Macaca mulatta: one gene and its partners. The protein of the gene in region 2 interacts with the protein of the main gene of each other region in a pairwise test. Links are inferred from orthologs where the notes say so. Each region holds a gene or a part of one and is shown on either strand. Other genes may lie near its edges.

Region 1 (4,134 bases), on a different chromosome or scaffold from region 2:
ACTGTGGTAACAGTAAAACCACCATTTTCTAACGCTTTCCCTCATCCACCTGAATGTGGTGAACAACATTGGCTACGCAATTATGGGATTCATGATTCCCTAAAACGGTCAGGTCTACCTCCTCTGCAAAATGGCTCAGTATCCTTTGCAACAATGTGGCCAGCATTTTTCTAGAAGATTCAACACCCACAATGAATGTAGCTTAAAGAATTGGCTACAGAACTGTGGGACTCACATGATTTCCTGGAGCAGTCAGACCTCCCTCCCTCTCCAATCTTGTTGCCTTTTCCCAGCAGCCTTTGCAACAGCATAACAACAATTTTTGTAAAACTTTCCCTTACTCACAGTGAATTTAGCTAGCTAAAATGATTGGCTACAGAACTGTGGGACTCACTTAATTCTCTAGAATAGTCAGGCTTCCCTCCCCATCCAAAATGACTGTGTTTTCCCAATATCATTTGCAACAGTATAGCCACTATTTATTCTAAAACATTCCTTCACCCATATCGAATGTAGCTTAAAAGGACTGGCTACAAAATGGTCAGATTCACTTTCCTGGATTTCTTTTTTCTTTCTTTCTCTTTCTTTCTTTCTTTCTTTCTTTCTTTCTTTCTTTCTCTTTCTTTCTTTCTTTCTTTCTTTCTTTCTTTCTTTCTTTCTTTCTTTCTTTCTTTCCTTTCTTTTCCTTTTCCTTCCTTCTTCTCTCTCTCTCTCTCTCTCTCTCTCCCCCTCTCTCTCTCTGTCTCTCTCTCTCTCTCTCTCTCTCTCTCTCTCTCTCTCTTCCTTTCTTTCTCTTGCTCTGTTGCCCAGACTGGAGTACAGTTGCATGATCTCAGCTCACTGCAACCTCTGCTTGCTAGGTTCAAGCGATTCTCATGCCTCAGCCTCCTGAGTAGCTGTGATTACAGGCATGTGCCACCATGCCCAGCTAATTTTTGTATTTTTAGTAGAGACAAGGTTTCACCATGCTGGCCAGACTGTTCTCCAACTCCTGGCCTCAAGTGATCCGTCCACCTCTTCCTGCCAGAGTGCTCAGATTACAGGCATGAGCCACCATGCCAGACGACTTGACTGGATTTCTTAACAGCCAGAAAGCGTAGGAGCCTCACCTGAGTTATTGTGTGTATACACACACACGCACCACACACACAATTTTAAATACAGGAAGCGTTATTTCACACAATGGATTTACAGAGTGAAATATTTATGTACTCCCCATGCAATATTTGTTTCAGGCGTTCTGAACTCCCAAGGTTGCATCCCAAGCATAGGAAAGGATGACCCTGACCTTTCTGTCCTCATTTGCCAGCTTGGAATACAGGAGCTTCCTCCTCCTCACAAGTCAATGTCTAGCCCTGCCTGACCTGGTCAGGCTACAGCCCCTACAACCAGTACTCCCAACCCCAACCTGGCCAACATGTGCTGAGGACCCCATGCAGTACCATTTTCTTGGATCGGGTGGCAGTCATATTCCAAACTCGTTTCGCTGAAGCAGAGCCAGCAGCTTTTTGTTCCAACTTCTGCCTCTTCTGGGAGGCACCCAGGGACCGAGATCCATGCTCCATCATTTCTAGAGAGAAGAACAGAGACCCCAGGAGCACCCATAGAAGTTGTACCAGGGCTTCTTGGGCACAAAACACACCAAAAAGAAGACAGAGTCCCCAGCTTTCTTGGGAATCACTCAGCACCCATTAACCACTGTCCACCAGCTGATCCCAGGTCTCAGTTTGTTCATCTGTTCAAAAGTTAAACAAGAATCCTGAGGGCTCAGCTCGAGACTAGGTTACTCTCCAGTAATCTAGAGAGCAATGACCAAGAACAAGATTCCAGCTATCAAGGAACTGACCATCTGTTTTGTGTATAAGAGTGAATGACAGGTGTAAAACAGAAGGTCTATCCTTGCAAATGCAGACAGAGAGATGCAGGCTCCATAAATGATCAAAACAGGGTAACATAGTGGAAGGAAAGGGCTCCTTCTAGAAAAGTAGGAGACAACAATTGAGGCAGGGACCTGAAAAAAATAAAGGACCCAGCCCTGGGAAATTGAGGGAAAGAGCATTCCAGACAGAGGAAACAGCAAATGCAAGGTCTTTGGGGAAGAAGCAGGCTTGGAGCATTGTAAGAACAAACATAAATGCAATGTGATCTGGATCCCTTTGTGTGCTATAGAAATGGTATTTTCTGTCTATATCATAGTATGAAATGTTTTGAGGAGGCTGATACAATCTTATAGATCATGGAGTCTGGATTTTCCTCCAAATGGCAGGAAAATGAATTCGAGGGTTGGGAGAGAGAATTGATCTCTGGTCTCATAATTTGAGCCCTCTGAGTATTTTGCAACAGACACTGTGGTGGCTTGGACAAGGGGAAGACAGAGGGACCACACATGTTGTTCCCATCCTCCTCCCTCCCAGGGCAAAATGCTCACATCATCTATCCCTTTTCTCCTAGATCCCTTACCATCAACCCACAAATCCTCAAAGCCCGCCCAACACACAGATGTGCAAACACTTCCATGCACACATGCACCTTTCCCAACACACACATGCACAGGTACAGACATGTATCTACACAGTTGGCTGTAGCCTAGGGGTATTTTAGGGGATCCTCACCCGCTATCACCAGGTGCTCTTGGTTTTGCCCTTGGCGTCCATGATTCAGTTCTTCTGTCAGGGACATTTCCATCTCTGCCTTGGTGTTGGGAGGGCCTCCTGCCATCACAACCAGCTGTTCACTTGTAAGCTATGGCTAAGGATGTACAGGGTGCCAGGAACAGAGGAGTCACACTCAGAAAATCACCTCTTCCTGGAACAGGAGCTCAAGGAAGATATAGTCAGACCTGGGGGTGGAGCAAGACTCCCTCTCTAGGCTGAGGCCTTGGACTCAGCACTTTCTGTTTCTATTGTATCTTGTTGGCTAGGTCCGTGGCCTTCTCCTTGCTACTCTGTAAGCAACTTAGGAGAAGAGATACAATTCCATGCCTTTGACTGTGAGAACTGCTCTGGCTCATAAATCTCCATATTTAGCCCATGGGGGGAAGGGTGGGGTCTACCCTCCATCATTTCTATGAAGAAACAGGGATTGGCACAGGGTCCAAGAGCCAGGCAGTGGCTACAGCAGAGTTAGGTCCTAGCAATCCAGGCCATACCACACCTTCAGAAGGGATTCTCTGGAGAGCATATCCTACCTCCCCCATCCAGAGTCCCCAGACATGGGAGGTAGCCTTTTTCTGAAGTAGGTCAGACTAGGCAGGAGCCATGAGAACAAAGGGAGAGAAGGGTAAGAGAGGTGGGACCTGACTGCAGCCACTAGAACTCCCAGGGGCCTCAGGCCTTGCACCTTCTAAGTCCCAATTCTCCCTCAGTTTCCCTACTGATTAGACCACTGTGATGGTCAGGTTTATGTGTCACCTGGCCAGGTTCTAGTCCCCAGTGACTCCTTCAAACACTAGTCTAGGTGTTGCTGTGGAGGCATTTTGTAGCTGTGGTTGGCATCTACAACCAGTGGACTTGAAGTAAAGTAGAGACACATCCTCGATGATGTGGGTTGGTCTCACACAATCAACTGAGAGGCCTGAAGAGCAAAGACTGAGGTTTCCCAAAGTAGAGGTAATTCTACCCCAGGACTGCAGTGTCAACTCTTCTTTGAGTTGCCAGCCTGCCAGGCTGCCCTGCACATTTCAGACTTGTCAGCCCCACAATTGCATAAGTCAATTTATTAAAATAAATGTATATATACTTGTGCATATGCAGATACATACATACATACATACATACATATATACATCCTATCAGTTCTGTTTCTCTGGAAAACACTGATTGCTACACGACCTATGGTGAACCCTTCATTCTAGGAAACAACCCCAGAGCCCCTGGGGGAATAGGAGGCTATTTGTGAAAGGAATCAGGACAGGTTTATAAAACGTTCCTTTTAGAAATAGCCTCTTCTTCCCCCAGAGCCCTTGGGTCAGGTGGGATAAAGAGGAGGAAGGAAGGAGGAAAAGAGGAAGGGAGGAAGGAAGGAAGGAAGGAAGGAAGGAAGGAAGGAAGGAAGGAAGGAAGGAAGGAAGGAAAAGAGGAAGGGAGGAAGGAAGGAAGGAAAGAAGGAAGGAGGAAAAGAGGAAGGAAGGAAGGA
Region 2 (4,276 bases):
CACCCAGTGTGCGACCCGCCTCCTGATACGCATTTCACTCCCACTGCGCAAGCAAAGACGACTGTGAAGACAGGGCTAGCAGGAGTGTCTGTTTATTGAGAAAGATGAATTCACAGAGAAGATTTTGAGGTTCCTGGCTGAGTGGTGGAGACCTTAAGAAACGCCTGGTGAGCGATTTCAGGACCTTCTGTTGAGAGGGAAAGACCAGAACAACTTCCAGGTGAGTCCTACCGCTTCGTAGGGGGAGAAGTGTCACCAGATTCAACACCAGGGTTTTGTGAGTGAGAAGGGCAGAGGGCCTGACTTGGAGAAGGTATTTCTCTGAAAGCAAAAGCTATTGTGGGAGACGGGAGAAAGCACAGCCAGAAACCAGAATGGCATTTAGGGGTCTGGGTTCGATTTCTGGTCAGTGCTCTTCCCAATGAGGCAGAGAAGGAAATCCCCTTCCCTTCTGTCTTCTTGGTGAATCTGCGGGTCTCCGAGTTGCTGTCTGCTCCATCTCATAGCACTTATCTTGTACCCTGCAGGCTGACAGGGAACAGCTAGTCTCAGGAGCCTGGTTTAGGGGAGTTCAATTGCTCTGAGGTTCCGGGGAAGCTGATGGAGGAGACCCTGGGAGTCCAGGCAGCGCGCGAGGCAATGCGATGCCGGCCGGAGCAGCTTGCTGCCGCCAGAACAGGCGCATCTGGGTCCCCTCCCGGGACTTCTCCCCTCCTCTCGGTGCTCCGCTGTCGCCCACCTCCAGCGGCCCGGGGCAGCTACCAGGGGGCCGAGGCAGTGTTCGCGGCCTGGGCCCGGCAACGGAACACGGAACTGTCGTCCCTGGAGAGCGAGGAGGCCGAGCTGATCCTTCGCGCCAGGCGGCCGGTGCGCCCGCAGGCCGCGTCCAGCGCCCGGGCTCGGAATGAGCGGTCCAGCAGGAGGTAGATGAGCGGGTTGGCGCAGCTGTTGACGAAGGCCAGGCAGGTGGCGATGGTGAGGCCCCAGCGCAGCGCCAGCAGCAGGGGGCACGGCAGCGGCAGGGCCCCCAGACGCGCCAGGTGGAAGACGGCCCGCAGGGCGCTGAAGGGCAGCCAGGAGCCCACGAACGTGCTCTCGATGGCGAAGATGATGCGCAGCGAGTTCCTCCGGACCCGACCCACGTGCGGCGGCCGGCGCAGGCGGCGCGAGATGCGGCAGTAGCAGAAGAGGGTGACGACCAGGGGCAACACGAAGGTCAGCAGCAGCAGCAGCAAGCTGAGGCCCTGGAAGGTGTGGGAGGGCTCCTCCCCGCACTGGCTGCCGTGGCCCCCAGGCAGGGGTTGCAGCCCCCGGTAGACCAGGGAGGGCAGGCCAGCCAGCAGCGCCACGGCCCAGACGCCGCAGCACGAGGCCAGCGCGCAGCGCGGGGTGCGCAAGGGCCGCGCCTCGAGCAGCTTCACCACGGCCAGGTAGCGGTCCATGCTCATGCCAGCCAGCAGCAGTGCGCCCGCGCAGCGCGTGCCCGCCAGCGCGAAGCTGCTGAGCTTGCAGAGGCCCTCGCCGAACGGCCAGCGGCCGTCTAGCGCCGCCGCCGCGGCCCACAGCGGCAGTGTGAGCACTAAGCCCAGGTCAGCGGCCGCCAAGTGCAGCACGAAGGTGTCCACTAGCCGCCGTGGGCCGCGCCGCCTGGCCAGCAGCCACACCACGAAGGCGTTGCCCAGCAGGCCCATGGCGAAGGCCGCCAGGTAGAGTGCAGGTATGTAGACATAGCCGTAGGGCAGGTCCCCGGCCGGACACAGCTCCAGCTCCTCCAGGTCGTCCAATCCCGAGTAGTCCCAGGCCCCTGACCCCGGGCTGGGACTCCAGGGCTCTGTGGGGTCCATGGCCTGGCCACGAGGCCTGCGCTGGGTGCAGCCCTGGGCTCAGGCGGCAGCAGCTCTGAGCAGGAGGGGGTTTGCTCTTCATGCCCGTGTCGTGCACCTCCCTTCCTGCCACCCCAGCTCGAGCAAATGGGTGGGCAGGAAAGACAGGAGGGAGGAGGGGATGGGGTGGGAGGGGCAGGCTCCTGTGGGAGAGATGGTGGCCTCCGATTTGGGGCTGACCCGAGGGGTAAGGGCTGGGATAGGCAAAAGGGGCTTCACAACTAAGTCTTGGGAGGAAAAGTCCTCAGGGCTGGGAGACCTGCCCCGCCTCCCAGTAGGAGCGTGGCCCATTCCTCTATTAGTTGCTCAGTTTCTTTGTTCGTGAAATCGGGATACTTGCCCCACTGCCTCAGGGTCGTGTTGCAAGAGGTGGTGGGTGCCAGAGAGCCCTAATCTCTTCTCAGCCTCCACCTCACCCCTTCCCACCTGCACCCACCGGCTGCTGTTTTCTCTGTTTTAGAGGGGAGAAGACAGGGGATTTTATGAGTATGGGGCCTAAGGCACGCCCCCCCCCCCCAAATCCACCTGTTCCCTAGGAAAGAGTCCACTGCCGGGACACAGCAGATCTGGGTGGGTCGGGGAGCCCGCCCTGGGCACTCAAACCGTTGTTAGCATCCTGAAATGTGGGGTTTGTGTCTTCACCCTGTGAGTGGCTTCTCTGACCCAAACAGGTCCTCATGAAGCGGAGTGGAAGGGTTTTAAGGCATCTAGGAAGGGGTGTAGTCAGATCATCCTGCTGGACAGGGGCCAAGCCTGGGATTCACATCTGCCTCTTCCCTGTCTTCTCCCAGCCTAAAAAAGCTATCTATTAAGCCAGACGCAGATGTAAGCTCAGTTCAAAAGATGACACCTAATGAAACACCAGATTAGTTGTCCTAAATTATGAGTCAGGAGCTTGGAGGCAGCAAGATCCTTTGTGAAATGAGAAACTGAGAGTAAGGGGAGGATACCTAAAGAAGAGGGGGAATGAAGTCTGACCCTGAGTGGGCGGTGGGCCCTTAGGAGGAGAGGATGGGGGAGGGAATGCTTGCTCTTCCTCCTGAAGGAGGCATGCAGCCAATTACATCTGAATTCTTCTTAGCAGATATCCCTTCCACAAGATATTGTGGTGGAACTGATGTCACAGTGCCCTCTGAGTCTGTCCCCAGTGTCCCCAGGAATGAGTGGCTGATGTGCCGGGCAACCTGGTGTGGAAAATTTGAGGTGGATTATCAATTTTGTTCGATTCAGACTTGTTAACAATGAACTCCTCCATGAAGCAGGCACTGTTTCAGGCACTGCGAGAGATGCCATTCTTGGCCTTAGCAGTTTATTGCATAGGCAGGAGAGATGGTTACATAAGCAGAATGTGCAATGGCCGACATGCCGGGAGTCCAAATTGTAGTAAATGTTAAAAGCCAAGCCCTCTTAGGGTTTAGTGGAGGGGGAGTGATTATTTTTGACGGGAAAGCTAAATCAGAAAAGGCCTTCTAGGAGATGACACTTGAGATCAGTCCCAGGAATGAGCTGAAAGTCAAATAAGAGCAGCAGAAAAGAGAAGAAAGGGTCAGACTCGGAGGAGGGAGTGAAGGGAACAAGTATACTGAAATGAGTAGGAATGTGGGCTTTTCAGGGGACAAGCAGTCTCCCAGAGCCTAGGGTAGGAAAGTGGGGACAGGAGATGAAGCAGGAGGAATCATGAAGGGATTTGGATTTCAATCTATAGGTCATGGGGAGTCAGGAGGCATTAATCTGTGTTTTGAAAAGATCACTGGCAGAACTGTGGAGAAGGGAGAGACTCAAGCCAGGGAGACCCCACCGTAGGTTGTAATTATTTGTGTCTGAAATAGATCATGAGCAGTGGGAACAGAAAGGAGAGGATGTATTCAGGAGGTAATTGTAGCATCATAGGTCTCACAAAGAAGAGTCAAAGATAAGCCTGGGGTTTCTCCGCTTAGGGACCATATGGACACTGTCCCCTTAACTGCCAAGAACAGTGAGGCGCATGTGCGTATGTGTTCAGTTTGATGTTGGTTTGAGGTAGTCATGAAATAATTTATCATCTAAATCAGGATGTTTCTGAGAGTGAAAGGGGCACTATGAGAATTAACCTGGGCCATAAACCAGGACTATTTTGGGCAAACTGGGACATAAGGTCACCCTCACTTGGGGTCCCTCTAGCACACGGAGATCCCCAGGAAGGATTTGGAAAATGGTCTTAGAGGCCGGGCGCAGTGGCTCACATCTGTAATCCCAGCAATTTGGGAGGCCGAGGCGGGGAGATCACTTGTGGTCAGGAGATCGAGACCAGCCTGGCCATCATGGTGAAACCCCGTCTCTACTAAAACTACAAAAATTAGCCAGGCATGGTGGCACACACCAGTCCCAGCTACTCAGGAGGCTGAGGTGGGAGA
Region 3 (4,150 bases), on a different chromosome or scaffold from region 2:
TGCTCAAGGAGAAGCAACACAATTTTAACTTGGACACTGGCTGCATCTATGCATAAAGGGACTGAGGTCTGACTCCTGTCTACTCACCAGCCTTGTCTGCCATCTTGCCGGGCAACCACAACAAATTTTCTTTGTTGCTGTCATTCACAACTACTAGTGGTGGCTGGGCACAGTGGCTCACGCCTGTAATCCCACCACTTTGAGAGGTCAAGGAGGGCAGATCACTTGCGGTCTGGAGTTTGACACCAAACTGGCCAACATGGTGAAACCCCGTCTCTACTGAAAATACATTTTTAGCCAGGCGTAGAGGCACACGCCTGTATATAATCCCAGCTACTCAAGAGGCTGAGGCAGGAGAATCGCTTGAACTTGGGAGGCGGGGGTTGCAGTGAGACAGCACGTCTCTGCACTCTAGCCTGGGTGACAGAGTAAGACCTGCATCTCAAAAAAAAGAAAAGAAAAAGAAAAAAAAGAACTACTGGGCATCCCAAAGGAGCCCAGTCATCTCAGTGTTTGTGCCTCTGTGCATGCAATTTCCTCTGTCTGAAATGTTCTCACCCTTTCCTTCTTTGAGCCTTCTTCTACTCAACCTTTATAACTGAGCTCAAATGACACCTCCTTCAGGAGCTTACCTCCTCAATGCTCCTGGGGCACTCTGAACTACCCTACATCATTGTCCTGTCCTGGCTGTTGTTCTCATCTGTCCCCTTCCCTAAAGTACTGGGAGGAGGTTGAGGGAAAATGGGAGAGTACAGCTGATATGACTTGGCTTCTCCGGGTGTCTGACACACAGATCAGGTACTCAGTAAATGTTTGTGGACTAACCGAATGAACCCACCAATTCTCAGGAGAAGCCAAGCCAGGCCTCCCAGACAGAAAAAGAACTTCAGACAACTCAAGTGGAAACCATGGCTCACCACTTTAGCCACCTGGCCTCCTTTTCCAATCTGGCGTTCCCAGAAAGCCATGAGCGCATCATGAAACCTCAAGTACTATCCTGGAATTTCGATCCCCGGTAGGTTTGGTGGGGTTTTTTTGTTTTTTTCATTTTAATTGGAAAGCCTTTGGTTCTCTGTAAATTCAGAGTTATTTCACATTGTTAACTTGGAAGGCAAAGTGACAGCCACCGTTCTGGAGTATTTCCCAGCGATCAGACAGCGTAACGGTTAACAGCGTGAACTCTGAAGTCTGGGTTCAAATGTACCACTTGCCAACTGGGTAACTTTGCATAAGTTACCCTACACTACTTCCCAATAGGACATATAAACTGAAGAACCTCTGGCCATTCATTAATACCAGCTGAACATCTACTGTGAGCCCGCTGCTAGCGATATAGTGGAGACCTGACCTTCCAATCTACAGTACACTTCCATGGAGTCAAACTGTTCCATTTCCTACACAGCACTTAGCACTATCTGCAAAGATCACGTGTGCTGGTTTGCCTGTCCTCGTCGGAAGGTAAGCTCTATGAGAACAGAGGCCTTGTCTGTCTTGTTCATCCATCACCTCCCCAGTGCCTTCCACGGATCTGTAACGATGTTGTGTGCTGGTTTGTCTGTCCTCGTCGGAAGCTAAGCTCTCTGAGAGCAGAGGCCTTGTCTGTCTTGTTCATCCATCACCTCCCTAGTGCCTTCCACATCACTGGATACAAGCAAAAAGAAGGAATGAGCATGTCAGACCTTTTACCTCGTGGCCCTGGTGAAGGTAGGAAAAAAAAAAAAAAAAAGAACAACATAGAAAACATAAAGGCACAAATTACAGAGATAATAGTGTCTGGGAGAAACCAGGGTCATGGTTTCCCACCACCGCAGGTGTTGCTCCAGGCAGCTCTGCGGAGCAAAAGGATCCCAGCACCTTGGCAGCCTCCCTCAGCTGCATCCAGGAGGCACCATGAGGGAGGCAGTGAACGGAAAATGGGACCAATCCCATCAGAAGGCCTGAGGAGGTTCATTTGTTGGTTCAACAGGTATTTCCTAGGCGTCTAATGTGTGCTGGGTACACAGCAGCGAACTGACAAGAGCCTGTCCTCATGCAGTTTCCTTTCTAGTGTTGAAACAGTGATTTTGAGTACGAAAAGTGCGGTGCTGACCACGAAACAGTGACAGAATGGGGACAGCAGGAGAGCAGGTGTGCACGGTGGGCTGGGTGGCCACAGCAGGCCTCTCTGGGCAGGTGATACCTCAACTAAACCCTGAGGTCAACACTGTCACAGAGCAGGGGAAGAACCTTCCAGGCAACAGCAGCGGCGGAGGCTCACACTAAAGTGATCACAAACTGGTCACTAAGTTACAAGGCAAAGTGACAAGTGCCTCGAAGGCAAGTCCCAGGAGGCTGGGGGTCGGGGAGGAGGCAGAGGCCCTAGCTCCTGCACCAGCCCTCTCGGGTCCCGGCCGCTCCGCGCATTTCTGGGGCGCGCGCTGAGCGCCAAGGCCCGGCCCGGCCTCGCCGGCCCCCACGACAGCGCCGTCGGGGTGGGGACGAGGGCCGACGTCACCCGCCGCGCCGGACTCCGTCCCTCCAGCACTGGGGCGGGGGCCGCAAGCATGAAGGTGGCGGCCTCTGGGGCTTACCTCGGAATTTGAGCTCGTGCTGCGGCTCGAGGCTCAGGACCTGCTCCACCTTCGCCATGTTCCTCAGCGGCGGAGCACCTTTGGCGGGGAGACCCCTGAGAGGTCACCGGGGCGGGAAGCGTTAATGCCGCGCCCGCTTTAAGTTTTACAAAAAAGGGGGGACCAGTCGGGGCACGGGTGAGAGTCTTCGACGGGGTGCGCGCGCTGGGGGGGGTCGTTCTACGCGGTGCAGGCTCAGGGGCGGAGGGCGAGGGCGAGGCCGCGGTGCCCGGCGAGCTGACGGCACGCACGCACGCACGCACGCACGCACAGGCGTACACACGCACGCACGCAGCAGGCTGGCCCGCTCGGGCGGCGGGAAGCTGCGCCCTGCGCCGCCAGCTCCAGGGGCGGGGACTAAAGCTGCGCGCGTGGAGCCCCACCCGGGACAGTGCGCAGGCGCGGTACAAGCCACGGGGGCGGAACTGCAGGGCAGCAAGGGGCGGGGCTTCGCGCTGCTCAGGAGGCGGGGTTTGTAGTCCGGCTACGACTGCAGCCGCGAAAACTATTAAGGGTCCGCTGGGGGCCAGCCTCGTGTTAAATGCTTTATTCAGTAACAACAATTAGAATAAACTTCCACTTTTCTCTTGCTTATGTAGTGCCAGGCACTGTTAGAGACTTTGAATAATAGTCAAAGTACTTAGTATAAACATGATGTTTATGGGTGAGTGATATGGGCTAAGCACTGTGACGTCTTGTAAATAATAATTATAAATATAATAAACTACCAATTATTGCTTATTTCGTATCACTCTGCTGAATGCTTCCAATGACAACAGCAGCTACAATAAATACAAGCTACTCTACGTTAAATGTTTATTAGGCAACTGGCACTGTGCTGAATTTTTACTAGTAAATTCGATTTGTTTATGCAATAAATATTTAGAAATACAATGATCAGAAAAGCTAACCTGATTCCAATCCTTTTACTGTAGCCTAGTGAAGAGACATTTTGAATAAATAACCACACAAGTAAGTTAAATAATTAAAAATTGCTGGAGAATCCAGATCTGCTTGACCTCAAAAATGGATACTCTACATCATGATTACCGTTTAAATTGTATTTCATTATATTATGTTCACTGTGAAAGTAAAGTAGGTGTTCTTAATAGTCTCCTATACATACCAATATAGGTGAAACAAACATGGCAAATTGCTAACAATGGCTGACTTGACATCGCAGGTACATGGTTTTCTTGTACTGTTTCTCCCACTTTTCTGTATACTTGAAATTTTTCATGATAAACAGATTTCTTGGAAGAATAATCTTTGTATTTTAACTGTAGCATTTAGTCCATTTACATTTATTATATTTACTAATATATCTGGAATTATTTCTACCATCGTATTTTGTTATTTCTACTTGTCCTGCCTGTTTTGTTTTTCTTTTTTTTTTCCCCTTTCTTCTTTGGGGTTTATTTTTATTCTCATTCTTATTTTCTTCACCTACATACTCTATTTCTAAGTTTTAGTGGTTACTTGAAAATTTTGGGCATGCATGCTTACCTTGTGAAAGTCCAGTATGTTTAAATATTTGTAAA

Evidence for each region.
Region 1: the proteins of GPR25 (region 2) and FATE1 interact in binary tests that used the Homo sapiens proteins (3 or more experiments, as listed by UniProt). The two-hybrid records come from large-scale screens. The link is inferred for Macaca mulatta from reciprocal best matches to the Homo sapiens genes GPR25 and FATE1.
Region 3: the proteins of GPR25 (region 2) and VAPB interact in binary tests that used the Homo sapiens proteins (3 or more experiments, as listed by UniProt). The two-hybrid records come from large-scale screens. The link is inferred for Macaca mulatta from reciprocal best matches to the Homo sapiens genes GPR25 and VAPB.

Annotation. Positions count from the first base shown.
Region 1 is NC_133426.1:157,951,734-157,955,867, reverse strand, and holds the start of FATE1 (fetal and adult testis-expressed transcript protein), read right to left. Parts: upstream 2,807-4,134; 5' UTR 2,719-2,806; coding exon 2,613-2,718; intron 1,571-2,612; coding exon 1,443-1,570; intron 1-1,442. UniProt on the Homo sapiens protein: Involved in the regulation of endoplasmic reticulum (ER)-mitochondria coupling. Negatively regulates the ER-mitochondria distance and Ca(2+) transfer from ER to mitochondria possibly implicating it in the regulation of apoptosis.
Region 2 is NC_133406.1:58,519,791-58,524,066, reverse strand, and holds GPR25 (putative G-protein coupled receptor 25), read right to left. Parts: upstream 2,801-4,276; 5' UTR 1,845-2,800; coding exon 759-1,844; 3' UTR 77-758; downstream 1-76. UniProt on the Homo sapiens protein: Orphan receptor.
Region 3 is NC_133415.1:111,191,633-111,195,782, reverse strand, and holds the start of VAPB (vesicle-associated membrane protein-associated protein B/C), read right to left. Parts: upstream 2,807-4,150; 5' UTR 2,629-2,806; coding exon 2,571-2,628; exon of another isoform or gene 2,522-2,570; intron 2,472-2,521; exon of another isoform or gene 343-2,471; intron 1-342. UniProt on the Homo sapiens protein: Endoplasmic reticulum (ER)-anchored protein that mediates the formation of contact sites between the ER and endosomes via interaction with FFAT motif-containing proteins such as STARD3 or WDR44.